Linked DNA regions of Lonchura striata. The protein of the gene in region 1 purifies or fractionates together with the protein of each later gene. This does not show direct contact. Links are inferred from orthologs where the notes say so. Each region holds a gene or a part of one and is shown in the gene's direction. Other genes may lie near its edges.

What was found. The genes of interacting proteins can lie anywhere in the genome.
Region 2: the proteins of CCT5 (region 1) and DCAF7 purify together in Homo sapiens (affinity purification with mass spectrometry; 4 studies listed by BioGRID and IntAct, counting the BioPlex papers as one, with this or other methods). This does not show direct contact. The link is inferred for Lonchura striata from reciprocal best matches to the Homo sapiens genes CCT5 and DCAF7.
Region 3: the proteins of CCT5 (region 1) and DDB2 purify together in Homo sapiens (co-immunoprecipitation; 3 studies listed by BioGRID and IntAct, with this or other methods). This does not show direct contact. The link is inferred for Lonchura striata from reciprocal best matches to the Homo sapiens genes CCT5 and DDB2.
Region 4: the proteins of CCT5 (region 1) and PDCL3 purify together in Homo sapiens (co-immunoprecipitation; 3 studies listed by BioGRID and IntAct, with this or other methods). This does not show direct contact. The link is inferred for Lonchura striata from reciprocal best matches to the Homo sapiens genes CCT5 and PDCL3.

The regions. Positions count from the first base shown.
Region 1 is NC_134603.1:71,666,419-71,673,806, forward strand, and holds the start of CCT5 (T-complex protein 1 subunit epsilon), read left to right. Parts: upstream 1-4,376; 5' UTR 4,377-4,448; coding exon 4,449-4,553; intron 4,554-5,499; coding exon 5,500-5,560; intron 5,561-5,654; coding exon 5,655-5,819; intron 5,820-6,319; coding exon 6,320-6,518; intron 6,519-7,264; coding exon 7,265-7,388. Other genes in the region: ATPSCKMT (ATP synthase subunit C lysine N-methyltransferase), read right to left, coding at 599-649, 1,384-1,521, 3,431-3,697. UniProt on the Homo sapiens protein: Component of the chaperonin-containing T-complex (TRiC), a molecular chaperone complex that assists the folding of actin, tubulin and other proteins upon ATP hydrolysis.
Region 2 is NC_134627.1:9,009,023-9,016,045, reverse strand, and holds the start of DCAF7 (DDB1- and CUL4-associated factor 7), read left to right. Parts: upstream 1-4,015; 5' UTR 4,016-4,103; coding exon 4,104-4,241; intron 4,242-7,023. Other genes in the region: voltage-gated inwardly rectifying potassium channel KCNH6, read left to right, coding at 965-1,163, 1,513-1,800. UniProt on the Homo sapiens protein: Involved in craniofacial development. Acts upstream of the EDN1 pathway and is required for formation of the upper jaw equivalent, the palatoquadrate. The activity required for EDN1 pathway function differs between the first and second arches.
Region 3 is NC_134608.1:39,083,251-39,090,921, forward strand, and holds the start of DDB2 (DNA damage-binding protein 2), read left to right. Parts: upstream 1-4,663; 5' UTR 4,664-4,776; intron 4,777-5,679; 5' UTR 5,680-5,691; coding exon 5,692-5,863; intron 5,864-7,671.
Region 4 is NC_134604.1:87,175,661-87,182,599, forward strand, and holds the start of PDCL3 (phosducin-like protein 3), read left to right. Parts: upstream 1-3,931; 5' UTR 3,932-3,981; intron 3,982-3,983; exon of another isoform or gene 3,984-4,035; 5' UTR 4,036-4,050; coding exon 4,051-4,056; intron 4,057-6,177; coding exon 6,178-6,307; intron 6,308-6,939. UniProt on the Homo sapiens protein: Acts as a chaperone for the angiogenic VEGF receptor KDR/VEGFR2, increasing its abundance by inhibiting its ubiquitination and degradation.

The DNA.
Region 1 (7,388 bases):
TTCAAATAAGGTTGGATGGAGCTCTGAGGAACCTGGTCTAGTCAAGTGTCCCTGCTCATGGCAGAGGAGCTGGAACTAGAGAAGAGAAGGTTGCATGCAGACCTCATAGCAACCTTCCAGTGTCAGAAGGGAGCCTACAGGGAGAAATCTCCTGATGAAGCTGGAGAGGGTTGCTTCATCAGGATAGGACAATGGAGAATGGAAAAAAAAAAAACTGAAAGGGGAAATTTAGGTTAAACATTAGGAAGAAATTCTTTACTGTGAGAGTGGTAAGATACTGGAACAGGTTGCCCAGGAACTGGATGTCCCAACCCTGGCAGCGCTCAAAGCCAGGCTGGATAAGGCCTTGAGCAACCTGGTCTAGTGGGAGGTATCCCATGCACAGGGGGGTTGGGACTTGATGTTTAAGGTCCCTTCCAACCCTTAATATTCTACAATTATTACTGACTACCTTTGACTATCTGTAGCTTGATTCATTTTGCAGATTAATGTATTAACACTGAATGCCTTGGCATTAAAATAAATAAACATTGTAACAATAATTTAACAGTATAATAAATAAAATACAGTAATAAAGAAAAAAAAATAGCAAGCTTACCATTTGAGGTACTCCAAAAACAACAACATTTCTATAATGGGAAAAAGAAACCTAAAATAAAAATTGAGAACAAAACTTACTGAAAATGGCACTTAGAGAAACTTTCATCATCCTTTTCTCCTAATTCCTCTAGCTGCACTTCTTTCAACAGGGATTTAAATCAAAAATATGTAAGGAGATCCCTTACCAACTTTTCATCACAAGAATTTCCACATAAAGAAAACTTTATACTGCCAAACAGCAAAAAACTTCTACTGTCTGGCCAAGAATATGGAATAGCAATTCTAGAAGCACAGAAAGCATTCATTTAGAAAATACCTACATGACTTTACTAATAACAAAAGGGTTATTTTCACAACTCTTGTATATGATAAAATCATGTATGCTTTAAGTTTGCCCCTTCTTCTTTTAAATGTCAGCTGGCTATAAAAATTTCCTAGGCATTGTAATGATAAAGTTCTTCCACTCAGTGCCGTGAAGTTTTCTTATGTTTCTCTCTGAACACAAACCTCCACAGCCCAAAAAAAACCCCTCCCACATAATTCATCAGGTGCAGGATTGCTCAAGGAACTGCTACTGATAAAGGAAGCACTTGAATAAAGCACAAAAGCAGCAGAACAGCATACTGAGCCCAAAGAAACCAGATTCCCAGCACAAGTACTTTGCTCAAAGTCCAGTACAGCATCTTGAAGTCAGACAGCATTTCAGCTTTTTCAGGAAAGTATTTCCAAACTTATAAATCTCTCAATCATCCCAGATCCATTCTTATATAATTCACCACCCACCTTCCATAAGTCTGAAATATGAAATTTGGTGTTCTGATGTACTCCATCTCTCCAGGCACGATATCTGGAGTACCAGACTAGCCAGGGATTCAATTCATAACCAACAGCCTGGAATCCCTTTTTTGCAGCTGCTATCACCTTCAAGGAAGAAAATAAATCTTCACTTTGAAACATAAAAATCAATTCACCTAAAGAGAAGCTCACAGTTTCATTTAAAATATAAATCAAAGGAAAGCACTTTCCTAAGTCACCCTGGGTTTAATGCCCAACACATCAGCTGTATAGTGAACAAAAACTCAAAACTACTTTTTGCTATTATTACTAGTCCAACTGAAATATAGTTAGGCAAACAAAATGAAAACAAATATTCACAGAGCAAAGCTGTGAGCTTGCAATACATCTATGATCCATATAAAAGTTTAATTTAACACATTCATTACAGTGTCTTGGAATTAGAGAGAACCAACATTGATCACAGAGAGAACAGTGAAACTCACAAGCAAAAACACTCAAAATTAGACCACTTATTTGAAAAGCAGTGAGGGATAGGCACTTGAGCAGCTCCTCCATCAGAGCTAAAATGACATACTAATAGAAAGAGTGTGAAAGCAATCTTAATCTACACTGAAAAAAAAATCAAAAAATGCACTGATTTCTAGAATAAAGGTTTAAGACATAATTTAAAAGACTAGAGCAAACTTCTAATCAGCAATCACCTGATGAACTATCAATTACAAAACAAGCAAGGTGAATTCAGAAAGCACACATTTCTTAACAGAACTTCTCAAACAGCTTTACCTAGACCATGTATTTCACACTGTCAAAATAATTAATCTTCCATCACACACAGAGCACTTGAAAATTCACCAAAAGAATCTGACATTTTTACCAGACTTGGAAGTGTGGTAAATATCTTCATATTTATCCACCTGAGTAAGTGCTAAATAATTAAAAGCATTTGAACAGGCTTTGTCAGGAAAGATGCATCAAGGAAGCACCAAGCATTCACCTGGCTTTCCAAATAGTCTTCAGTTTCCATTTGGGCACCTACATATCAGAATCAATGACACAGTGCCTATTAAAATTAAATACCTCTGATCAGAGTCAGCAGCCAGAAAGGCATCAGAAACTTCAGTTATCTCATGCCTAAGTTTTTTGGTCTTTTTCATACCCAGGCACAATTCAAGCAATCTTCACAGACATGGGGTTCCAAATCAATTTTTTTCTTAGGTGGACAAACAGTTGACTCATTCACATAAAACATGGACAAAGGTAGCATTCAAGAACTCATGTGTTTGCATCAAAAATTACCACCCTGCTGGCAAATCTGACTTGAAGCAGATAGTTACAAAAAAACAAAATGTCCAGCAAATGACACACATGACACAAGTTAGTTACAAATGACACAAAATGTCATAGCAACAAAAGAAAAACTAAAACACAATTTGCCACTATATCCTCATCATATTTCACAAACTGGGGCTCAAGCAATACCCTGGAAACGCAGAATCACTTTTTCTTTCATGATTCTCACAATTTCTCTTGGTGTTTATTCTAGTTTCACCACATGGATTTGGAAGTGGGGAAGCCAGCAGTCCACAAAAGTTTGAAGACTACAGTTCTAACGATATCAGGATTTTTATTTTTATAATCCATCGCTCATTGCCCATTTCTTTTTACACTTCTATCACCTTTATACATTAAACATCTCACAGCTTCACTTGCTGCAGCTACACACCTTTGTGGAATCACAGCTCTTTGTCAATCAGCACCAAGACTCTGATAGCTTCTTGTCAAATGAATGCACTGTGATTCCCTCCAGTCGACACGATGACATTTTGTCCACTACCTTTGTCAAGCTACAGGTAAGACTGCAGCAAAACTATTTATTACTCATCAAAACTGAATGTAAACCTTTCTCAGATTTGATACTTTCCGTGAGACTCAGAGACAACCAGTGGCTGCCAAAGACAAGACATTTTTAAGTGTGAGAAAACGCAGCTCCAGCACTTCGGCATTTTTTTAAGAGGCAACATCCATAACTTACAATACGGCCATCTCCGCTACCAATGTCAACTAGGGAGCCACTTCTGTTTTCCAACATCTTCAGCACGTTCTGGATCTGAGCGGCGGTGGCAGGAACGAAGGGCAGGCACACCTTCCTCAGGGCCGGGGTCACGAAGGGGGTGGCTACAGCATAGAGGGCCACCAGGGTCCCTCCCAGACCGGCCGCGGCCAGCAGCCCCCAGCTGCTCCTGCGGGAGCCGCCCTCGCCCTCCTCCTGCGGGACCTCCTTCGCCAGCGCCCGGGACATCCCTCCTGCGGACGGACAGACAGCGTGTTCGCTCATTTCAGACAAATCAGCGTCTTGTAGCGAAGAGCTACCGCGTAAAGAGATGGAAAAAACCACCCTACACTTCAGCCAACCCCAAGGAAACGCTACAGCGTCTGAAAAGCTGAGGCACGAGAGGGCAGGAACGCGGTTCCCATTTAAACGCCGGGCCCCCACAGGCGGGCGGGCAGGCAGGGATCGCCCCGGACAGCTCCAGGGCGGGCAGGCAGGGACCGTCCTGCCGCCGGGACAGCGCCGGAGTCACTGCTCCTCCCGTGCGGGGCAACGCTTCCCTAGGACACAGCCACACCCCGCCTCGACAGCGAACACCCCAGCCTCACGCCCGGCCCGCACCGCTACCGGGAAGGGCAGCACCACTTCACTGCGAAGGGGTGCGGGGCCGAAACCTTTCCGAAGGCACCCCGGAGAGAAGCGCCGCGCACGCTTTTCCACCGTCCGTCTGCCTTCCCTCCTCCGCCCTCACGTCACCCGGCGCCCGTACTCCGCCCCACTCGGCACATCCTCCCCCCTTCCCTCCCCGCCCGCGAGCCGCGCTCCTCCCCCGGCGCCGGCGGCTTCCAGAAGGCTCGGCTGGCGGCGCCCCAAAGCTCCCGCCCGCGGCATTCGGCGAGGCGCAGCGTTCGCGCAGGCGCGGGGCGGCGCGCGGCGGGCGCGGCGGCTCCTGGGAAGTGCGCGCGCGCGGGCGGCGGCGGTCGGAGCTGGCGGAGCAGCCATGTCGGCCATGGGGACTCTGGCGTTTGACGAGTATGGGCGGCCCTTCCTCATCCTGAAGGACCAAGAGCGCAAGACGCGCCTCATGGGCTTGGAGGCGCTCAAGGTGAGCGAGCGGGGCGGCTGCCGGGGCCGCCCGCGGGCCCGCGCTGGTTAGGCCGCGCCGCGCCGCGCCATGCTGTGCCATGCTGTGCCATGCTGTGGTGTACCGTACCATACCGTGCCGTGCCGTGCCGTACCGTACCATACCGTGCCGTGCCGTGCCGTACCGTACCATACCGTGCCGTGCCGTGCTGCTGCGAGCAGCGGGAGGATGGAGCCCCTGGGGCGAGGCGCTGCCGCGCTCGGCGCCAGCCCCGCCCGAGGCGCAGGGCGGATGGAGCCTGGACTGGGCCCGTAAGCGGGGGAGGGGTGGAGGAAGAGAGAAAGCATCGCCCCGGGGCTGGGGACCCGCGGCACGGCGTGGGTCCGCCCCCGAGCTGCGGGCCGTGGGGCCGGCACCCCGTGGGGCACCGCGGCCCTCCCGTGCTCCTGCCCAGCCCCCCACGCCCCCTCCCTTAGACCGCCTCCTGAAGCTCGGCTGTCGAAGAAAGGCTGGGGCTGAGTGCGGGTGGTCTAAATCCCGACGGAAGAAGGGAGTGGACACTGGAAGAGAGAGGTGGTGGATGCCCCATTCCTGGAAGTGTTCAGGGGAAGGTTGTATGGGGCACTGAGCAATCTGGTCTAGTGGAAGGTGTTCTGCCTCTGACAGGCGGTGGGACCTGGATGGTCTTCAAAGTCCCTTCCAAGCAAAACCATTCTGTGATGATTCTATGATGGGTAAAATTGCACTGCCTTCTCTTTTTAGCGTTGCCGGCCTCTGTTGCTCCCTGCTTTGAGCGTTAGGGCTGTCATTTGGGTGCTCTGCTTTTGCGTGCTTTAGCAGAGCCAGCACAAGCAATACAAGCAATAGTTGTTGTCAGTTAAATTACAACATTTGCACTACTTGCTGTGTTTTCCTGGAATGCGTGGTAATGATTTAACTTCTGTCTTTGTTATGCTGTGTTTTACAGTCTCACATAATGGCAGCAAAGGCTGTAGCAAGTACTCTGAGAACGTCCCTTGGGCCCAATGGTAACAATGAAAAACTTTTAGTATTTCTCTTTTAATAATTGTTGTGGGGGAATTTTCAAAATTTTCCTTAATCCTTTGAACATATGTTTTTTAGGCTTGGATAAAATGATGGTGGACAAGGATGGTGAGGTGACTGTGACAAATGATGGTGCTACAATCCTGAATATGATGGATGTGGATCACCAGATAGCCAAACTTATGGTGGAGCTGGCTAAATCTCAAGATGATGAGATTGGGGATGGAACTACTGGAGTCGTTGGTAAGAGAGCGTTTTAAATTTAGCTTCCCTTTTCAAGTTTAAAATCAAGTTGCTTCAGCTATTTTAAAAAATTGTGAGAAATAGCAGTAGCTTTTCTGTAGCACTTCTTTGGAGTATTTATTGTTGCAGTATTCCTGTCAGTTCTTGTATGAGAAGTCTTCTAATCGGGAAGAATCTTTTGTATTTTTTTGAAGTCTGGTTCCATTTTAAGGTAGTGCTGAGAGCCCCTTTGATACTTTCAAAGAATTGTTTTGCATATTTTTCTTATGTAGTCTCCTTGTCTTGCCTTGATGCCTGTGCTTCATTTTGGTCTTAACATAATGTGGTTCTCTTGCTAAGCAGAGCAAGTAGAGGTTTTTGTGGTTTTTTTGTTATTTAGGAAACCTTGAACTCTTAAAATACTGCAGAAAAAACAGAAAATATGGTTTTTAATCGGTTGTTAATATACTTAAAATTATGCTCCAATCAAGAATAAAACTTTTTTTTTTTTTTTTTTATAGTTCTGGCTGGGGCATTACTGGAACAGGCTGAGCAGTTGCTAGACCGAGGCATTCACCCCATCAGAATAGCAGATGGTTATGAGCAGGCAGCACGCATTGCTATTGAGCATCTAGACAAAATCAGTGACAGCTTCCCAGTTGATCCACAGAACATTGAGCCTCTGATCCAGACAGCAAAGACAACTCTGGGCTCTAAAGTGTAAGTCATAAAACCTGAATATTGAATGAATATTTACCCTTCCATTGAAAACCCTCTGCATGGAAAGGAGAAATCCTGGTGTTTGTGTTATTGGAGTGCTGCTGAAGGCTCTTCTGTGTTTTGGTTTAGCTAATTCCTCCATGGACTCCTGTCCCCGGATAAGAAATTGTGACTCCTTCATCTCCAAAGGGTCATTTCCATGAAATTAAATAGCTGCAGCATCATTTTCATTCTAACCTGTTAGTTCCAGGTTTCTGCATCATAGCGGGTTCCAAAAGTAATCTGAATCTGTTAAAAATAACAACATGTCATCTTAGGGGTTTTTTTTCCACTAAAAAAAATTCACTTAAGATGGTTCCAAAAGTTCATTTTCCTTTATGGGTTCTCTGTGTAGTTCATAAATTTAGACACTGGAAGGGCTTTCCTTGCAGAGTTGTTTTACACATGGTTTCTGTTTCTTGAATGTTTTTTAGTCATTTAGTTCTCCTGACTTTTTCCAAATCTCTATTGAGACTCCATTGGCAAAGGTTCCTCACACCAACCACGCTGTGTGTTCGGTTTTCTGACATAGCCAGCACCCTCTGTTTCTGTGAACAAACAAGCAGGAGCCCCTCTTTTAATATTGTGTGCAGAAGTTGATTGCTGTAGTGGTACTTCTTGCTGTTTAACATCTATTGATGGAATCACCTTTTTCTTCCAAATGGTGGAAATGGAGTACAACATGACTGTATTTTCTTCAAACCTAGAGTGAACCGCTGTCACAGGCAAATGGCAGAGATTGCGGTGAATGCTGTACTGACAGTAGCAGACATGGAACGTAAAGATGTTGATTTTGAGCTGATCAAAGTGCAAGGCAAAGTGGGTGGTAGA
Region 2 (7,023 bases), on another chromosome or scaffold:
GGCCTCTAAATAAGAAAAATACATGATTTTTCAAACTGACAGAGAGTAGGCTTAGATTGATTTCTAGGAAAAAGTCCTTCCCTGTGAGGGGGTTGAGACCTGCCACAGGGTGCCCAGAGCAGCTGTGGCTGCCCCATCCCTGAAGTCTTCTATGTCAGGTTGGAAGGGGCTTGGAGCAACCTACTCTAATGGCAGGTGTCCCTGCCCATGGCTGGGGATGGAACTGGATGAGCTTTAAGATCCCTTTCAACCCCAACTGTTCTGTGATTTTTGAAGAAGGAAGAGCCCACACTGGAGGTGCAGGTTTAATGTCCCCAGGCAGCACACATGAGGGGCTGACACTGTGGGTTCTGCTGCCCTTGTTAAGCTCATTTCAGCACACACTTGAATTTAGATGTCTCTTCAGTGCACCATCCTACTGCACTGGGGACAGATCTGCCCACTCTGTCAGTGATGCTGTGACTGTGTCCTGCAAGTGGGACTGTGTTCTGCAAGTGTGGCTGTGCCCACTCCTGCAAGTGCTGCTCACATGGCAGAAAGAATAGACTTCTGCTTTACTGTTTTCTTCTGTTCCTGAGTTAAAAGTGGTTGGCACTAACCTGCCTTGCTCCATCTGTCAGAACAGGCAGCTGGCCTGGAGAATTGATCCAGATTAAAACTAACCATTGCAATCTTTTCCCCCCTCCAGGGTAATTTTAGCTTTTTTCAAATCCCTGCTCCAGATCCCAGTTTGGCTCCACATAAAATTGGGCAGAGGATGATTGAGTGTGGCAGGAGAGAGATGGCAGGATTGATCTCTCTCTGGTAGTGCCGGTTTGAAGCTCTCTAAAAACCTCAACAAGCAGCAGGGAAAGCATCACTGCCCTGGGGTAGCGGGATCGGCACCTCCTCCCAGCGCCTCCCCTGCCCAGCTGCAGGATGCAAAAGGGTTCCCTGCGCTGACGCCAGGCTGCTCTGTCCCCAGGCTGGAGTCCAGGATGTCGTCAGACATTCATATAATCCTGCAGCTCCTGCAGCGCCAGCTGTCCCAAGTGCCACCCGCGTACAGCCCCATCTCGCCGAGCTCCCACAGCCTGGCCATGTACGGCATCGTCCCGCGGAGCCTGGAGCCGCTCGGCCCCTGTGCGCCTCTGCAGGACCAGGAGATGCCGACCCAGGAGCAGGTAAGGTCAGCCCTGCTGGCTCAGCCCCCACCAGGCTCCTTCAGCCCCGAGTTCTCGCCAGGCAAGGCACAGCCAAACACTGATGGGTCCCGCCAAAGCCACGGCGTCTTGCCCTGGGAGCAGATCTGCCCAGTGCACCACTGGTTTTGGGGCACCGCTGCTATCCCCAACGCTGCCAGGCTGCCCATCAGTGGGGAAGGAAGGGGGTTTCTCTGCTCTGAGGCTTTCTCAAGTGAAAAATAACATTTTGGGGCTTGGAGCTGATGAGGCTCCAAGGTTGATGAGGAGAGAGTATGCCTACTTCGTTTTACTTTTACCATCACCCACACAATTCCTCATTTCCCACCAGAGCCCGAGCTACACGGAGGTAGAAAAGTTCCACTTGAAATCCAGGGACTCCTTGTCAAGCGGGATGCAGCTGTCGGTGTCATCCGACAAAACCATGACGGTCTACTCTGAGCAGGAGCACCCCTCGCCACCTCTCCTGAACCCAGAGCCTCCCCACCAAAGGGCACCAAGCGCCCAGGGACTCTTGAGGGGCTCTCGTTTCCCTTCCCTCCCTGAGCACTTGGAGGCATCTTCCGAGCACCAGGACATTCAGAGACACCTCTCCGACCCCGTGCTTCCTGGAAGTTAGAGACGTGGGGGCTGCAGGGCGAGTCAAGAGGAACCTCAGCTGCAGACCCGGTCAGTTGATGTTGGTTTTGACTGCAAGGGTAAAACATTGGACAATGCCATTGGCTCAGGGGTATAATTTGTAGCTATCTTCTGCCACCATGACAGGAAGTATAGAGTGGCTGGCTTCCAAGGCCAATGTTTTCCAGAGGTTCCCAATAGAGTAGATTTCATTTGCACATTAGAGTGAACCTAGAACAGCTCTTACAGCCACCATCGAGCTGGTTAGGCCACGTGGTTCCCACCACCTCCTCCTTGCCAAGGCTTCTTCTCGAGAAGGGCACAAGCCAAGCGAGCCACAGCAACCACAGGAGAGCCGATCCAGGGCTCTGGGCTGCGAGGCTGTGTTGGAATCCTTGGGAGCAGGGAACACTGTGTTGGTACAAGGCTCAGCCCAGCAGAGCCTGCAGGCACTACAGAAGGGTGGTCACCATAGGACTGTGAGATCTCCACGGTGTGGTCCAGGGGAAACTGCAGGTGGCAAGCCCAGGACAAGGACAGAGGACAGAAGTTTGTCCGACTTGATTGCCACTGAGAAGTGAAGGGCCAACATCCCCTGCCACCTCAGCCTGCTTCAGCACGAGTCCCAGAGCACTGACTTCTCCAGCAAGGCTGATCACACCTTGCAAACCCCAACACGCATCCCACAGCTCACCAGGTAACTCCAAGTCGCCACTGGCCTGGGCATAAAGCACAAAATTCAAAAGCACAATCCCAGGAAGCTGAGAAGCCCCAGACACCCCGTGTCCAGTCCTCCCTCCCAGCCTCCCTCTTTTGATAAAGGTTCAATAGGTGCTTCCTCCTGCCCACCCCTTCTCCCGGCAGACTCCGCAGCATTCCCGTAGGAGAAGCCCACGTAGCGCTGCCGCTCGCCACTCGGGTAGATGCTGTGATAGACCTAGACCGCCAGCTCCAGTATTGTATCGAGCTCCCTCTGAGAGTAGTCAAACTGTGAGCATCTCTTTCTCTGGAGTTTTAGTGTACACTTTGCTAATAAAGATGTTTTTGGCACCTAAGGTGAATTACAGCTGTGTTCGTTGGGAGCATCCATGAGTTCATCCCGGGCATCGTCACCCCAAAAAGGCTGTGGTCAAAGCCCGGTGACCTCATCCAAGGAGTGTGGGGCTATGCGCAGTCAGCTCAAGGGTGGAGCCTGCGGAGGCTTCGCCGAGCAATCCCTTCCCAAAAGGACATTTGGAAAACCTTTTCTGCGAGCCCAGGCAGCTGCATACGAGAAATGATCTCTCAACCACAACTCGGGCAGAGCCCAGAGCAGCGGTGCTTGCAGCGGGTAGCCCTGCCAGGAGCACGGCGCTGCCCAGAGCGGCCCCGCAGCGCGCCGAGCGGACACGGAGCTGCGGGGGCTGGAGCCGGGACCGCACATCCCCGACCCCGGCCGGCCGCACAGCCCGCGGCGGGTCCGGCCAGCCTCGCTGCGCCTCGAGCGGCGTGCCGGGCACAGCGAGCAGCTCCCTGGGCAGCCGGCTGCACCCCTTCTGCCAGTACGCGCCAGGGCTGCTCCCAAAAAAGCACCATAATGAACTGCTTGTTAATTAGAGATTAAGCGCGGGCCCGTCCGCCACTCGGCCGAGGCGGGGCTCGAACCCGCGACACACGAGAGCCTGAAGCGGCCCCACCCGCCTCGGGCTGGCGTGACTGACATCGCTTCCAGCCAATCGATCACCGCTAAGGGCCCAAGGTCCCGCCTCCAGTTAATGCGACCCCGGCCAGCCAACAAGATGTCGACAACGAGCGTGCCCGCCCCCCCCGGGCGGGGCCAAGCGCAGCCGTAGGTTACCCCAGCCGGAGTGCGCCCGTCCGTCTGGAGTGAAGGGCCAGACGGCCAATAGAAAGCCGAGGCGGGCTGAGCGCACAGGCAGATCGCCCAATAGGCAGCCGCCGCTCTGAGTGACAGTCGAGACGCCCAACCCGCGCGCAGTGGGCGGCGCTCCCCGCGTGGCTTCCGTTCCCGTTGTGTGAGGGGCCGCGTCCCGCACGGCCTCAGCAGCGCCGCCGCCGCTGCCGGGTCTGGGCCGGCACCGGGGCCGAGCCGTTCCCCGGGGCCGAGCCGCGCCTCCCCGCCGCCCCGAGGGCGAGCCGAGCCTTCCCCGCTCCCCGGCACCCCGGGGGCCGCGCCGTGCCCCGTCCGCTCCTGTCCCGGGGCCGCGCTGAGGCTCCCCCCGGCCCGCGCCGCCTCCCCGCTCCCTCCGGCCGGGTCCCTCCGCAGGCTGCCTGGGCCCGGCCCGCGGCCCCCCCGGCCCAGCCATGTCGCTGCACGGGAAGCGGAAGGAGATCTATAAATACGAGGCGCCCTGGACCGTGTACGCCATGAACTGGAGCGTCCGGCCCGACAAGCGGTTTCGCCTGGCGCTGGGCAGTTTCGTGGAGGAGTACAACAACAAGGTGGGCAGGGTGGGCACAGGGGCTGGGGCAGAACGAGGCTGGGGGAGCGGGGGCGCCTCACGGCCAGAGCGGTCAGGGACCCCCAATGCAGGCCTGGACCACGTCAGGCTGGTCTCTGCTAACCCGGGGTGAGGGACACAGGGAAGAGCCCTGGGGGCTGCTGGTTCTGGGATAACGCTGCTGCAGGCTTCTCGTGACCTCTGATCTTCGGAATTAACGATTGTGTTGGCTTCGATCACATAAGCACCGCGTGCTATGAGTTCTCTGTGATGTAAAGAGCTGGAAACTAAAGGTATGATATGGGTCTGGTTGCTGCTGCTATAGAAATAAAACAATTTCCCCTGGCTTGGGCATATCTGGTTGGGCATATCTGGCTTTTTGCTCAATTTGCACAAAGGAAAGTTTGTGGCCAGTACATATATATGCATATAGCTATAAAGAAGTTCCACCTCAATGTGATGAACTTCTTTCCATGGAGGGTGGCAGAGCAGTGGAACAGGTTGGTCAAGCAGCTTTTGGAGTCTCCCTTTCCTGTGACATTCCAAACCCACCTGGATGTATTCCTGTGTCACTTGATCCAGGTTACTCTGCCTAGAAAGGGGGATTGGACTGGAGAGTTCCCTTCCACTCCCTGTGATGTACAGGGTGTCTGAGACTGTGTTGGGAATGTGCTGTTCTCATGTACTTTCTTGCTGTGGAGGACTTGAGTGTGGTAACTTTTTTCATAACTATATAAACCCCTCTCAGTATTGATTCCTCAGTACTTTTCCCTGAGAACAAGGGTGTAATGAGGCATGAGATTGTATCTTCAGTGTTTCACTGCAAAGTGTGAGTGAAGAATGTCACACCAGTAACAGAGACCAGTTCATCGCTCAGAACACATGTGCAGTCACTTCTGAACACCTTCAAGGTGCTGGCCGGTATAATGAATTACTTAGAAATCAAAGAGAGATGAGAAGATGGATGAAGTTATAGAGCATCCTGAAATTCTTGTGAAACTGAAGGTTTGCCCACAGAGCTTGGTTTATATCATGTAGCTGTGTAGCCTTATCAAGGTGTTTAATGGAGATTGTGGAAAATACAGTCAGAAAGTTGTCTTGGGGACATGCCTCTGTAGAGGTTGTGCTGTACACAGCTGGCTCCTGGCACTGGAGCGCACCGACAGGCCCTGACCAGATGCTTCCCACATTTCCACATCCTCCCAAGCAGTGCCCCAGAGAGAGAGGGTTCAGGGCAGTTCTTCTGCAGGAAGGTCATTTGTTCTCTTAAGATCCTGCACTGCAAAGAAAAATTGATTGAATGCTGGAGATTAATTGGTGCAGTGGCATCTTTCTGATTGTAAAATAATCGTGAAATGTTATTTTAGGTAGTTATAAATTAGACTAAAGTTAAGGAGGTTTTCAAACTACTGTGGACTTACTTCACTGTTCCTCCAACCATATAAGAAAAAGAAGCCGTTACCAAATTCTGCATCATTTAGTTCCGTCTGATTCTTTTGTATCAAGTTAGAGATAGGTTTTTTTTAGAACTTAAGGGATGCTGATTAAAGGTGGTTCTTTACTCGCATGCACTGTTGCAAATATGCTTTATGTTGATAAGTGCTTGGATTATAATATGCTAAAATTAGGTATGGATTTTCCTATATTGAAGTGTTGGAGCGACAAATAAATATTTAGCATTCCTAGCTACTGGCATGGCAAAATCACAAAACTAGTTGAGGCTGAACACGCTGATCCTGGTTTTCTCTCTGGAAAGACTTATAGGGAGATGTAGAATGGTTCAAATTGTATCCAGACTGACAGTTACTTTCCCTTAGGCATTACCTCAGTCTTACCTGGGCTGGACCTCAGGCACTCCTTTGTGCAGCAGCATTCTTGCCTCATGTGCAGAAGGGAGAGAGAGAGGGCTCTGATGTAATTGGCATCCTAGAAATAATTCCATGTTCCATCCCCTCGTGTTCAGCCTGCACGAGAGGCTGAGTGGAGGGGTTCCGTGATGACTGTGTGTGATCAAGTCCCGAGAGAAGAGTCACAGCTCTGAACTTGCAGAGTTTCTCAAGCATTCCTGCTGCTCCCAGCAGGGCAGTGCCTGCCTCCCCCTCGCAGTCACTGCCAGCTGCTCCTGCTCTGGGCGCTGGGCAGGCCCCTGAGCTGCAGCAGCTCTGCTAGTGATAGTACAATTCCTGTTCTCCAGCCTGGCCTGCACCTACACATGGCAAAGATCAGAGCTACTGGATTGCTGAATTGCTTATCTTAAGGTCTGAGGAGGGGTTAAATGTGATTATGCAGTGCAGGAATATTTACATTAACACCAGTGAAAGGGAATCCTTTGCTCTTTGAGATTTGCTTCTGGAGAGGATGTTGATTGTTTTGTGTAGGATTATTACAATCATGTTGAGTGGCAAAAAAACATAAGCAAGGGAGAAATTATTAGAGGTCATTTGTCTTATGATCCTAACCTTGCCATAAAATCTTTTATCACCATGGACAATTTGCTTCCTTTGTAAAATCTGATGAATACTTCTGATCCCTAAAGGAGTTAGAAAGCTATTTGTCAATCACTTCAGAAGTCTGGGAGATTTTTGACTGATTTATACTAGGATATGAAGGATAGTAAGGAGTTGCTATAATAGAGAGGGCAAGACAGGCTGTGTTTCAGTTTTTGGAAGCATATTTGGCTGCATCTTTTTGTTATGAGATGGAAAGGATGGAGCTTCTCATTGTGGAGGGTGGGGCAAGGCTTTGCATTTAAGAGAATCTCTAAATGAGCTCATAAAACTGCA
Region 3 (7,671 bases), on another chromosome or scaffold:
ACGGGCCCCGGCGCGGCCCCTTTCCCGGGGGGTCCTGGGAAGCCGCTTTATCCCCACTCTGCACAGCGCTGCCAGCGCCCGCGGCTCCGGTTTCAGAGTGGGAAGCGGCTCTGCGCGGATCCGGCACAAAGAGGCCCCTGTCCCCGCGGCGGAGCGGAGGCGCGGGCTCCGGAGGGAGGGAGGGAGGGAACGCCTCGGCAGCCCCCAGTGACGGGGCGGTGGCAGCGGGCCGGCCCCAGGAGGCCGGCGGCGGGGCACCCGGCGAAGCTTAGGGACGCGAAGGCAGTGAAACTCCGGCAAGAGCTTCCCCAGCCCCTCGCGACCAACCCGCCGGGACCACAGCCCCGCCGCCCTTCCCAGCACCGCACGCCGCCGCTCCCGCACCTACCGGGGGTCTCCGCTGCGCCTCCAGACGAACCGCGCCGAGCCGCCTCCCAGTCCCCTCCTGCCCACAGCCAGCGCCCAGCCGGGTACCGCCTCCCCCACCCGCCCCCTTTCCATGAGGAAACTTTTCCCTCGCAGTTGCCAGCGCGTCCCGAGACACGCTGCTCGCCGCGGGAAGGCGGCGCCGGGACCGGGACGGGCTCCGCCGCCAGGACCCCCAGCACCCCGCAGGGCACAGGTCCGAAAAGGCGGCGGGCCCGCGGAGCGAAGCCCACAGCAGCGAGCCCGCCGCTTACCTCGCAGGCGGCGCGGCGGGACGCTCAGCGGGCAGCGGCCACCTCGGGGAGGGGCCGGCTGAGCCCTCCCCCTACTTCAGCCGCGGGACTCGGGGGTCCCGCCCCGCCTCCAGCGGCTCCCGCGGGGCGGGCCCGCGCTCGGGCTGCTCCGATGGCAGCGACGGAGCCGCTCCAGCACAGCTCCCGCCTCCCGCCCCCGCCGCCCGGCCCTTGATCCAATTAACGGGAGCGGGCTCTGCCCAGGCAGGTGGGGTCGGCAGAGGTGCCGGGAGGGCAGCGCCGGCTCCCGTTGTCGTTCTCCCCTACCTCCACGTTGGGAAGGGCTGCAGCTGTGGGATGCGGAGGGGACTGAGGGAAATCGGCCTGGCTGGGATCCCCCTCGTGGCGGGGTCGGGAGGGAGACAGCTCTGGGAGGAGCTGCCCACTCGGCCCAGCCCCGAGTTCGGCTCCTGTCCGTGAGTTCGTTCATCTGTGTGCTGTACCGGCCAGCTGACGTGCAGGGCTTGGAGCCCCCCTGCTGTTGGAGCAGGAGGTTCCCCAAGGCTGATTTCCACCCAAGTGAAGTGCTGTGGTCTCTCGTGTGAGAGTGGCATGGGTCACTCTCCCTGGGCTTAGAGGGTGGCATCAGTTCACCTTGGCATCCGTCTTTCTCGTTCAGCCCGATCTTGCAAACTGCTTTCAGTCACTCTTCCATTTCTCTGAAAACGTCTATCTGAATAATTTGGACGTCATCTTTTAAATCCCTGAGTGCAATATCCCCTGGGCCAGGGCTTGCTGGCGGAGCGCTACCAGGCCTTGCTGGCCCGCCTTCTCTTGAAGTCACTGCTTCCAAGTGACTTGGGACATAATTCCAAGGACCAACTGTGGGTTTGTAGTGATGTTTATTCAATTGGTGGAAAAAGGAAAGACTGAGAGCCTTGCAGAAGAAAGAAAGGAAAGAGCATGCCATAAATCTTCCATTTCTCTGCAGCAGTACTTAGGTGTTTTGCCTTTCTTTCCAAGTGCCCTAGATTTCATAAGAACCAGAAAATAACTGTGCTGATGCCCTTCATATACAGTGAAATTTTGTGTTAGAAAGTGGACATTAGAAACCATTCCACTTAATTTCTTCTGAGACCAATCCTCTGTTCACCTTTACCAGCATAGGGTCTCTGGAAGGTAGACACCCATGACAGGTCATTGCCTATGGGTGTCACTTGTAAAAAGTGAAAAAATATGCTTGTCTTGTCCTTGAAGTTAATCACAGCTGAGAGTATAAGCAACTTTGTCTTTTACTAAAACAAAACTGAACCCTATTCTTTGGCACAGATACTCCCTAATTCAATTAAGTTCTGCATTTTTGATTTCTGTTATCAAAGTAATGTACATTAATGAAGGTCAGAAAAGGCAAGCTCCTGTCATCCATTAATAGTCTATATCCAGTGTTTGCCCGGTGTTATGTTTGCATGCTGATTTCTAGATTGCTATCTCATGTGCATCTAAGATAGCATGTCTAAGACAGATACTGCCCATGTGGGACTTGGCCACCACCAATACTGATTGCAAGGTGAGAGTATTAAATAGCATGGCTGTTGCGATCCTGTCCTCCAAGGCTGGAATGGCTTGGGGGAGATAGGGTGCTTTCGTAAATAAGCCCATAATGATAGTGATCTTTTTGTTCATTTTCGTGGTATGGGCAGCTTAACAATGGCCATGGAAGAGAAGGAGGTCAAATAGCATGATATTTACTCCTTCATCTCTTGGGTTTTATATTTTGTTTTACTTTTTCATGGAATATAGGCTTGTTTTCATATGCATGGCAAACTCTAGTTGCTCTAATGATATATACATCAGTATATATAATTTATATATTTGTATATGATTTATACATTTGTATATAACTGTATATTTAGCTAAGGTGGCAAAATTATTCATGCTTTGGACAAAGGTCCTGGAAACAAGGAGGCAGAACACCTAATGGTATTATTACTACCATGAAACTGATCTTAGTTTCAATATAGCTTCACCGGATCCAGTGATAAGACAACGTGATTCTGTTGGAGAGAACCATGTCCCATAACTGAGGCAGAACCTCAGCATAATTGTACATCAGAGAACTGGCAGAATAAAATAAACCTAATATCCTGCCCATGCAGAATTCTATTCCTCTTTGTTGCATACTGCAATTCTAAGACACTGTAAATACGTCAAAGAATATTTTTTCAAATTAGTCTTTCTCTTGCTCAGAGTACCATCCAGACACTGAGCTGTGGGACATCAGGCCAGTGGCATTTTTCTGTGCATGAACTGTGTACTGTCTGTTGTTCTTACCCTTAGTGGATAATTATTACAAAAATATCTCGTGATTCTCCAGAGAGAAATCAAACTTGGTGTTAGTCATTGACACAAACACTCTATTTAGCATGTGACCTCATCTTGAGTACTTTGTGCAGTTCTGAGACTCAACATTTGAGAGTGGTGTTGAAGTCCTCGATTGGTCCGGAGTCCAGAGTCTGGCTTGCCTAGGTTGGAGAAAAGCATGCTGAGGGAAGACCTCATGGCTCCCTACAGCTTCCTGAGAAGGGTAAGTGTAGTGGGAGATCTGATCTCTACTCCTGGGATCCAGTAATAGGATGCATAGGAGTGGTCTGAAGCTGTAAAAGGGTAGGCTTAGACTGGACAATAGGAAGCATTTCTTTACAGAGAGGGTAGTGAAACACCGGAACAATCTTCCTAGAGAGAGGTGGTGAATGCACCAAGCTGTCAATTTTTAAAGGCATTTGGACAATGCCCTTAATACCAGGCTTTGACTAGGTCAGCCCTGAACTGGTCAGGCAGTTGGACTAGATGTTCATTGTAGGTGCCTTCCACAGGCAATAGCCTTTTCTACTCTTTTCTAGTCTATTTCATTTCTAAAAAATGCTGTGATAGCTCCAAGATGGAAATGCGTAGGTTACACTGGTTTTTGCTAATGGGTACAGTTCTAAGACAAAAGCTGTATATTATAAAAGTGCCTGTTGAGACTCTAAGACTTGCTAATTGGTTTGGTGTATATGTCCAAAACCAGATTGTATTAGTGATTATCATTTTTGTGTATGGCATTCTGATACAGCAAGTAATAAAACTTTGTTACTGTTCAGGGAAAGAGCATAGAGACTGTTTGTTGTTTTTCTGGGGAATTTTTCTGTGCCTTTTCTAGTATGTGAGAAAATCCATAGGTAACTGTAGTTATAGCGCAAAAAATAGTAGCACGTGAAACCAAACCCTACAGAAGGCATGGCTATGTACAGCTATTTCAGAACCTGTGTTCATAGCCTCCTGTGTGGATGACTGTACCTTAATTACTCAGCATAGTTACTGTTAGGCCTGAAGCCAGGGACTTCACTGCTTCAGAGATGAGGGATAAGGTTCCCCACGGCCGGCAGACAGCAGCCTCCTTTGCAGGTGCGAAGTGCTGGTACTTCCCTTTCTGTTGGTAGAGCTCTTCCTTCCCCATTCTTGTCAGCTGCACCATGTAGGATCTAGTACTCTCTGAGCTGCTCTCGACAAGACTTTGTTATCAGCTTTTGAAGCACCTTTTGTTGTTGATGGTGTTGATGCTGTTGTTGTTGTGTTCCAACACCAGGTGAGTTTTCTTGTGGAAATGATGTTTTGATTTGTTTTGATTGCCGTGTTTGGGGCTTTAATAGGCCAATTTGGTGCTCTACAAACTAATGAGGGGCATATGATTTTACGTGCTGCACCAAATAAACAAGAGGCAGACAGACGGACCGCGCGTTTCAGGCCGGCTCGGCCCTCGCAGCCGCCTGTCGCTGCCGGGGGGCCGGAGGCGCTGCTCATGCGGATGGCCGGGAGGCCGGCAGGGGTAGGGGGGGGAGGCGGGCTAGGGCTAGACAAGCACGCCGAGCCCTCCCCGGCCTACCCCTGTCGATGGCGCTGCCCCTCAGCGGGGAAGGCTGGCGGGGGCCGCCATGGCCGGCGAAATCGGTGCCGCTCCGGGGGCCGGGCCGAAGCCGCTGCCCCCCGTTCCCGCCCCGGTTATGAAACCGCGGGGGAGGGGCCAGTGCCGGCCGCCGGCCGCGGCGGCGCCGGGAGAGCCGAGGCCGCGGGAGCGCAGGTGAGAGCGGGGGGGCTTTCCGCCCGGGCCGCGAGGGCCGCGGGCCGCGCCGGGGGCTGAGGGGAGGCCCCGCCGTGCCCGGAGGTGCCGGAAGCGGCAGCTGCCTGCGCAAGAGCCTGCGCGGTGCCCGCCGAGCTGGATTTAACAGATATCCGTGATGGCCATTCAGGAATTCTAAACGAGCTCAACGTGAGCGCAGGCTCAGCCCAGGGATGCTGTGCGGGAAGGTGCTGCGGCTGCGGAGGGCCTTTGGCGCACGGCCCGCTGGCTGCAGAGAAGGCCGTGGAAGGCCTGTGCTTTTCCTCAGGGGCCTGGTGGCGTTGTGGCCGGCATAACCCGGGACACGAGTCGCTGAATCTCACCGCCGTTAGAAGAGCAGTTCCGGTGTGGCTGCCAGGCTGTGCACGAGCTGAATCCAAATACCAGGTGGTGGTTGTGAGGAAAAGTGGCCACTATGCAGGAAGTACCTTCTGAGCCCATTTGTTGCAAGGCCAGTCAGCCCTGGCCATCATCATAAAAATTCTGACCTTTTGCTTAGCTGAATCTAAAGAGCTCAGTGTGAGCTACCAGAGAAACAGTTAGGGGATTATGTGGTTTCACAGATGTACTTTATGCAGATCTGTGGGTTTCAGGCTTAAAAGTCTAGTAGAGGCACATCTGTCAAAACATATTCTAGTGCTCTAGGATACATTCATTTTCATATGTGAACAAAGAAGATTTTATTGAACCTGTTCCTCTCTTCAGTAGAGAACAACAAAAAGCTAGTGTCATCCCAATGAAAGAGGATACACATCTAATCACTACGTTCGGACTAACTGGGATATGTTCCATTCCACTTTTCCTCTCTGTCCTCTGGTTAGAAGTGTATGACAGTCTTACCTTCCATGCTTTGCTTGCTTTCAGTGGTCAGGCAGAATGGCTCCAGTAAACCAGCCAAAGGACAAGAAGCGTGAGAGGGCATGTCAGCATTGGCCAGAAGAAGCAAAATCAGCTGGGAAGAGGAAACGGGACTATGGAGAACGAGGGAATGAGAAACAAGAAAAGAAGTTGTTTGTGAGAAAAGCATCTAGACCCTCAGGGAAAATCGGTAATATTTCCTCAGATTCTTTCTCCCTACCAGATTTACTGCAAATGACAGGCATTTACTAGTTGAAGAGAAAGAATGCCAAGAATCATGTTCAGACATGAGTGTTCAGATGATGTTAGATGTTGAAGTAATAGGCAGACTTGTGTTGGGGTAGTACATCCTCCAAGTTTTTGTCTAGTGAATGTGTGTGCATGCAGGAATGTTTGAGACTATGTACCCCTTGATAAAAGCCTGAAGCACTGAAGATGCTGTTACAGCTCATTTGAGGGTGGTCAAGTTTTATAGAATTCCAGTATTACCAGATCTCTGCTTTAGTGTCAGACAGACCAGTCTTGGTAATAAATTCTTACTCTCATGCAATTCTGAATACAACTGTTAGTTTAAGTGTTGGTGTCCTACAGCATCCAGTCTGAGCTGGTATTTGAACCCCATTCTTTCCCTGTTCTAACTTTTGCTACAGTAAGTATGAATACTTTCTACCTCTGTTCAGATTATAAAGGACAGAGTTTCCTCTAATTTCTTCTTCTCATGTGCATTTTTTTTCCTTTGGTGACTAACTTATGAGAAAGACCAAATCTTAAAGAGTTTTGATGTAATGTGGAGTTGTGATTAATTTCTAATATACTGGAAAGTTTAATGCTTTGCATATATTGAGGAAGTTGTCCAGACTTTACCTACAGCGATTTCATAGAATTATTTAGGTTCAAAAAGACCTTTAAGATCATAGAATCCAATGGTTTACAACTCTTTCAGTGAAGAAATTTTTCATGATAGCAAATCTGAACCTCTCCTGGTGTAACTGGAGACCCTTTTGTCCTTCCTCTCACTTGTTACTTGAGAGAAGCGACCAACTCCCTTCTTGCTGCAGTATCCTTTCAGGTGGTTGTAGAGAGCAATATGGTCTCCCCTCAGCCTCCTTTTCTCAGACATAACTTTTAATTCCATCAGTGGTTTAGGAAATCACTAGGGTTACTGCCTTATGTGGAGATACTATGTGTTTTCTGTACAATTTTGGCTTAAGGATCCAGAAATTACTGAAGTCTTTTTCAAAAGTCAGAGATACAGGGGTTCTATGATTTTGCACATTTCCATTGTGTGATCTGTAAGTCCAAACTTGGAGGAGTTAGCAGAGTGAACAGTAACTGTGGAGGCAAAATACTCTGTTTGAAAGGAGTTCCGTTTATAATTGTAGATAGTTAAAACATCTTCTGTAGTTAATTTAGCTACATGATTTTATTGTAACTTTGTGACCCGATTTTTGTATTTGGTAAGAATCTGCCATTCCTGTAAGATACTTCAGAAAAATGAGGCTAATCATATTTTCCCTTAACCCTTTCTTAAAAAGATGAAGACCTTTCTATTTGAGATTTCCCATTCTGTGTTCCAGTTTGTTTGTGTTTGGAATTTTTTTTTCTCCTGATCCATATAGGACAGTTTCCATTTCTTACAATTAAACCACCTTTTTAGAGGGTTTCTTTCAGCTGATTCTAAAAAGGCCTGAAGCTTTGTTTCTTAATAAACTATCCTTAATTGTAAAATAGAATCTGAAAAAAAATACCTCAATTTCTGTCACCTCTGAAGAAGGAACTGTGGATACCAATTCTTTAGTGAAAAAAAAAAAAAGAAATTAGAATAGAAATACTTTTGTACCTATTTCAACAAGTGTGACAAGTGTTCTCACTATGTGAACAAAGAAGTGTGCTTTTCTCCATCATTGCATTAAAGAAAGATTTAATTTAGGTTGTAATCATATAGGATGATCCACGTGTTTTCAGTCTTCTATGTTTGTTTTCTTTTTAATGTGTGTC
Region 4 (6,939 bases), on another chromosome or scaffold:
CACCGCACACCACAGTTCATCAACAGCAGAGCTAAAATTTTAACAGTTATTGCCCTTTTACAGCCTGCCTTTTTGGAGAAGGATCTCATTGCAAAACCTGTCAAGGGTTATTGAAGTTAGATATGAAGGGCTCAAAAGAAGACAAGCTTCCCCTGCTACTTGGAATGTATTTAGGGTTGAGGCACAGTGGGTTTTCTTCAGCAAGATTTTTTTTAAACACCACAACTGTTACCTCAAAGCTAACTTGAGGCCTGTCTCTTCCTTCAAGAGCAATCTGCATTACAACTTCTACTATCGAGTAACAACTTCCCTCCATTTCAAATCTAAAAATGGAAAAATTCTTGCAGCCTACATCTTGTTATATCCAAAATACTTCAGGACTTTTTCACACATTTCATATGGCTTTAAATTAATTCCCTAAATGGTATTCTCTGGCTTATTTGAGAATACTACTGGAGGTCTTCTGTACCAAGAAAAGGATAAACTTATTTGGACAGCACTATGCAGACGGAAGAACAGAAATTACCACCTCATGACAAAGGAAATTCAGCCCAGCTAGGACATTCTTGCAACTGGAGTAGCAAAACTACTTATTTATAACATTTCTAGTCTATAAGTAAATGGGGCTGGTTAACTTCCAGTACACCTGGCTACAACATACAAAAACACCCATCACTACATTAACATGTAGGGGTTTTACTAAGAGATTTAATTATTTAAGAAAAATCAGAATGAGCTTTGAAAAGAATGTGAAAAAATAGTAAAAGTTAAAAAACCCAGCTCCTAATAAAATCCAAGCAAACAAAGTCCTTCCTTATAACTCCTTATCCCTATTACCAGACAATACTTTTTCTAAATTATTCACAGTACAGTCATACTGTGTAATACAGGCAGCTATCTTACAAAATAACATGAAGTCCACAACCCCAAATCTTCCCCAATGCATCATAAATTAAAAGTACATCACATTACCTTCAAAAATTCTTATTTTGTCCTAGTCTGTACCTTACTACAATCTACACTCAAGCACAAACAAGCCACATAACACCTCAACCCCAGGCTCAGAACCTTTTTATTACTAACTTTTTGTTCTCATCACTGCATCACCTGGATAATTAATGAGTCATTTACACACATGCTTCATCTTCCTTCACCTAATCCCTGATTTGGGGCAAAAAGAAGAAATACATTACAGCTGCTCAGAAGCAAATTGGCTGGGGTGAGGGGGAAGAAGGCAGGCTGTCTGCAAGGGCTGAACCATAGCTACATTTCAGCCTCACTATGACACTGCCAGTTCTCACTTACTCTAGCTGGAGTATTTCTGTCTGCGTGCTATGTGTAAAAATAGCCTTTCTTTTTTTCTGCTGAAGCTTGCTTTAGAAAGTACATAGGAAAAATGGGCTTTGTAAATATATTTTTAGTTGGGTGGGAAGAGAAAACTGTGTTTTGCTTTAGATGTGTCCTGAGTAGAGTCATGCTTGGTTCACATTGTGTCTGAGCCCCACCAAATGATGTGATGGGGCTGCTCCCTTTTCTGGTAAGTCTGTCCCAGATGAGGCTCGGAGTTTATTGTGGTTCTGGTGCTGAGGGTGCTTGGCTAGTTCCTCTTCTTTCGCCTGAGCAAAAACCTCACCTCAGGTAAAGGAATATTTTTGAGCAGCCTTTAAAGAAATGAGTGCTCACTTCTTGCTCATGCTCTTTTTGTGTTTGTTTTCTGGCATTCAAAGGAGTTTCCAACCAGCAACATACAAGAGCCTTGGGTGTGAATGGTATTTCAGCCACAGAAGATGACTATTTAAACCAGAGGGTACTCCCAGAAGCCAGGCTCTGGCAAAACACTCAGACAACAAAACTGTCATGAACAGTTCAGCCTTTGGTTCTGCCTGTCAGACACCAGATGTGGGTCACAGCTTCACAGCATCTGCATTTGTGGCACCCACCCACTTTTCTTACACGGATGAGCATTTAGTCTAAGCTGAGTGAGGTTGAGTTTCCTGCCACCTCAGGGCATTGAACAGCCAGTATGGGGTACCCTCTGCACGTCCAAATGCTCACCATAAGGACTGATGTCCTCTCAAAGCACAGCTGTCCATTTCTTCTAATTCAGAGACAGAAAAGGTGCCTGTGCCTTCCCTTCAGCAACCCAGACTTAGCTCAGAGAAAGTGGCCAGCCCACTCCAGAATAACTGGCTGTTAATGGGATGCCCACAATCTTATACATGTGGAAGTGGGGCTTCTAAATTTTCATTTCAGGCCCTTGCCAGAGCCGAGACAGTCCTTGCTCCACATGCTTAAACACACTCTTAAGACCTGCTGGCAGGTTCTTTAGGGCTCTTTCATGGGGACTGAGATCTGGGTAAGCATGCTGTCCATTGGGCTAGAGCATAAAAGGAGGGGAAGGGAGGCAGGAGCAGGTCTCTTCCCTCTGCTATGTCTCTTGGAAAAGAAAGCTGAAAAGATCTGCTCAGTTCTTCAAAAGGGCAGGTCTAGGTGCCTGTTTGTATTGTGATAAAGGGATATGATTCATGCTAACTAAATTGTAACTATATCAATAATTGTTATAAAGTAATAGAGGAAAAGCAGATGGGCCCCTTCATGGATGTTAGGTGTGAAAAACAGGATACAGGATGTAGTATTGAGATAAGCAAGATCCCAAAACAGAATTGGCCTTGGGATGAACAAAGTTGGGATGATTCCCAAAGCAGAATCAGCCTTGGGATGAGCAAAGTTGGGATGATCCCAGATATGGAATCTAAGTTGTGGTTTTATCTATGAAATAATACGACTGATTTGGAATATAATGCTTACTTATATAGCACAAAGCTTAGTGCATGCGTGCAACCTGTAAGGTTATTCAGAGGACAGTGAGGAAGACAGCAAGCCTTCCTCTGAAAAGACCACCAAAAAGCCAGGAGACCCCCTAACAACAAGAGGAGCACCATGCAGTGTAGTGACATAGATTTCAAGAATCAAAAATAGGAGGAGATTTACAGAAAAATATTGATGAATATGTATTGGCATACAGTACATAAGTTTAGTTTGGATTCCTTTGTTTCATACGTGAGACAGGGTGAGAAGCCCTCCCTGTACCCCAGTTGGTTTTGCTTATGCTTTATATGAACCTTAATCATACTTAATTAGTCACTCCCAATTTTTTTTTTGTATATGCTTGATTATATTGAGCATACTTGATTGTATTAATTTCTAAAAAATTTGAGTTCAATTAAAATTGCTGCTAAATTCAATTTTGTTGTTTATTAAATTAGACATATAGAACTTCATTTATAACAGTATGGAATAGGGTGGGATCCCAAACGGATTTGGGTCACCACATGCAACACTCTTTTCAGTGTTTTCTGAGTGACACTTTAACATAGACTCAAAACTGAAATAAAAGTAACTATCAAGAGACAAATTTCTGGTAATACCAGTTGGCTATGATCCAATCCTAATAATACTACAAGTATTAAAGCTGATTGTGCCTAATAAGAATAGATAATACAGGCTTGATTGCTTATTTTATTTTATTAGCAGATTAGGGAAAGAAAAAACGAAGATTAACAAGTGGGGAAATAAAAGAGGGTATGAAATACAAACAGCTAAAAAAGGGTCAGTGGAAACAAAAGTTACAGGGAATCGCAGAGAGAGACTGGAAGGGACCACAGGGAGTCGCCTGCCCAACGTCCCTGCTCAAGCGTGGTTACTCTGTGTCAGGCTGGACGGGGCTTGCAGCAACCTGGTTTACGGGAAGGCGTGAATCCCCGCGGCAGGGCGATTTACGATCTTCACACGCCGTTCAACCCAAACTACTCCGTCACCCTTCCCACCGCCGGGCCCATCCTTATTAGGCGGCGCGGGCAGCGGCGGCGCCGGGCCCGCCCCGCCGGCAGCGCCGCCTCCTCCGGCCGCGCCGCGCACGCCGGGACCGGCCCTGCCCGGCCCTGCCCGGCGCCCCTGCCCCGGCCCTGCCCGGCCCGGCCCGGCGCCGCTGCCCCGGCCCTGCCCGGCCCGGCCCTGCCCGGCCCGGCTCGGCCTGGCCCCGCCGGCACCATGCAGGTGAGCAGCCGCCGTGCCCCGCGGCCCGCGCCCGGCCGTGTGCGGGCCGAGCCCCGCCGGCGGCCCAGAGCCGAGCCCCGCCGGCGGCCGAGGGCCGAGCCCCGCCGGCGGCCGAGGGCCGAGCCCCGCCGGCGGCCGAGGGCCGAGCCCCGCCGGCGGCCCAGAGCCGAGCCCCTCCGGCGGCCCAGAGCCGAGCCCCGCCGGCGGCCCAGAGCCGAGCCCCTCCGGCGGCCCAGAGCCGAGCCCCGCCGGCGGCCGAGAGCCGAGCCCCGCCGGCGGCCCAGAGCCGAGCCCCGCCGGCGGCCCAGAGCCGAGCCCCGCCGGCGGCCCAGAGCCGAGCCCCGCCGGCGGCCCAGAGCCGAGCCCCGCCGGCGGCCCAGAGCCGAGCCCCGCCGGCGGCCCAGAGCCGAGCCCCCCGGCGGCCGCGGGCCGAGCCCCGCTCCCGGCCGTGTGAGAGCCGAGCCCCCCGGCGGCCGAGAGCCGAGCCCCGCTCCCGGCCGTGTGAGAGCCGAGCCCCCCGGCGGCCGAGGGCCGAGCCCCGCCGGCGGCCCAGAGCCGAGCCCCGCTCCCGGCCGTGTGAGAGCCGAGCCCCCCGGCGGCCGAGAGCCGAGCCCCCCGGCGGCCCAGAGCCGAGCCCCGCTCCCGGCCGTGTGAGAGCCGAGCCCCCCGGCGGCCGCGGGCCGAGCCCCGCCGGCGGCCCAGAGCCGAGCCCCGCTCCCGGCCGTGTGAGAGCCGAGCCCCGCCGGCGGCCCAGAGCCGAGCCCCGCTCCCGGCCGTGTGAGAGCCGAGCCCCGCCGGCGGCCCAGAGCCGAGCCCCGCTCCCGGCCGTGTGAGAGCCGAGCCCCCCGGCGGCCCAGAGCCGAGCCCCGCTCCCGGCCGTGTGAGAGCCGAGCCCCCCGGCGGCCGAGGGCCGAGCCGCCCTCGGGGCAGAGCTGGGTGTTGTTCGGGGCTGTTCCCGGCGGTGTTGTTCGGGAGCTCCGTGGCTGGGTTTGTGGCAGTGTGTTGCTTTTTTTGCAGCTACGGTACTCATTGCACTACTGTAGTGAGCGGTCGGCGTTTCAGGCACTGCATCAGTGTGATAATAAATGATAGTAAATGCGGGGTCGAGGGAAAGGTGACCGCCGTCAGAGAAGGGGGTGAAGATATCTAGTGTTGTGTTTGCTGAGCTACGTTGTTCTTTTTCTTTATTTTCTTATGTTTCTTCTCCCCTTCTGCCCCCTACCCCTCCCTTCCTGTCCCCGATAGTCCGTAAGTACTGGGGCTTAGTCGAAGGTATAGGGTTATATGGCTGTGAACAGACCTGCTGTAAGGTGTACTGAAGCGGGCTATAGCAAAGCAGTATGTATGCTCAGTTTCTAAAGTTCCTAGGCCAAGATAGCAAGGAAGCACAATCAACCTGTGGGTGTTTATCACCGAGATTTCTTGTATTTAAAAAAATAAAATTGCCTGCTAAATAGGAAAAGCATATACTCAGCTACTCAGCTTTTCAACAATACATAGGGGTGTGTTGACCTTGTTTTGCAGGATTATTGCAACTATTTTACAGAAAAATCTCAGGAATAGTCTAGCTATAGACTTAGATCTGAATCCTTAGCAATGGTCTTGGCTGACAGAGATGGCTTGCTTTTCTCTAAGCACTTACATAGTCACTCTGACTTGAATATAGCAAGGAGACTTCCCATGTACTGAGAGCTAGGTCTGTAAGGTTTGTCCCTGTGTGTGTCTTGTCACTAGTGCTTCCTGATGCAGTGACCATTGGTTTGGTGGCCTGTCCTGCTGAGAGTCTATAAGGAAGCTCTCTGGCTAGCATGCTTCTGTGTCACCCAGCTAATACCCTCTCCTTTCATTGCACTTTGTGAGAGATGCAGCAGTGGTTACAATGCTTCAAACTTTGGTACCCAGCCAAGACCTCCTCTATGTGCTGTGAGTGTGATGGAATAAAACAAAGTCAGTCTTCAGGGTGCTGCAGGTCTGGGGCTGGAAAGAAGCCTCAAGGTCAGGAGGATTTGCACTGTGATTTTCTGGCACCATCCGTCCAGTTACCAGTTTAGCAGCTGTGTTAAATTCCGAACTTCTGTAAAGTTCACCTTGAAGAAATACCCATGTGTTGTCCTGTTCTAGGATCCAAATAAAGACACGGAGTGGAATGACATTCTGCGCAAGAAAGGTATCCTTCCTCCAAAGGAAAACCTGGAGGAACAGGAACGGGCAAAGGAAGAGGAGCAGTTTGCCATCCTTCAGAAATCTCTGGGTGAGTGACCAGCCAACTCAGGCAGCAGCAGAACAAGCCTTGGAATGGCTCCTGGGGGAAGCTTTCTCAAAGAAATGACCAGCATCAATATTTATAAGCCTGTAAAGCAATGTGTCATTTTCCGGGTCTGTGGGGATACCAAAGCTTCAGCTGTGCAGGATGATCAGCTGTTAATGGTATCAAACAAATGCATTCCTGAACACATGGATTCTTCCAGCACATTAAAGCTTTGTTCTTCTTATGAGCTCTGTATTTTTATGGAAGTAAATGTTTAGAAACTGAAGCACAGTGCAAAGGGAGTCTGCTAGGTGAATGTGCATGGCTGTGCTGCAGCTGCAAAGCTTGAAAGCTTGTGCAGGTAGTTGGGTGCTAGTCTAGGCAGCCTTCAGCTCAGAGGCCTTTTCCATCATATTCTTTTCATGTGTATGTCTAAAGCACATAGCACTTCCTAACAATCCAGTAGGAGTAATAATGACAGGTTGAGAAAGCTGGGGTAGCTAGCCTGGAGTGGAGAAGGCTCAGGGGCAAAGGGACTGAAAAAAGAGCTGGGGAGGGACTTTTTAGAATCCTAGAATAGAACCATAGAATATCCTGAGTTGGAAGGGACCCACAAGGATCACTGAAGTCCCAAC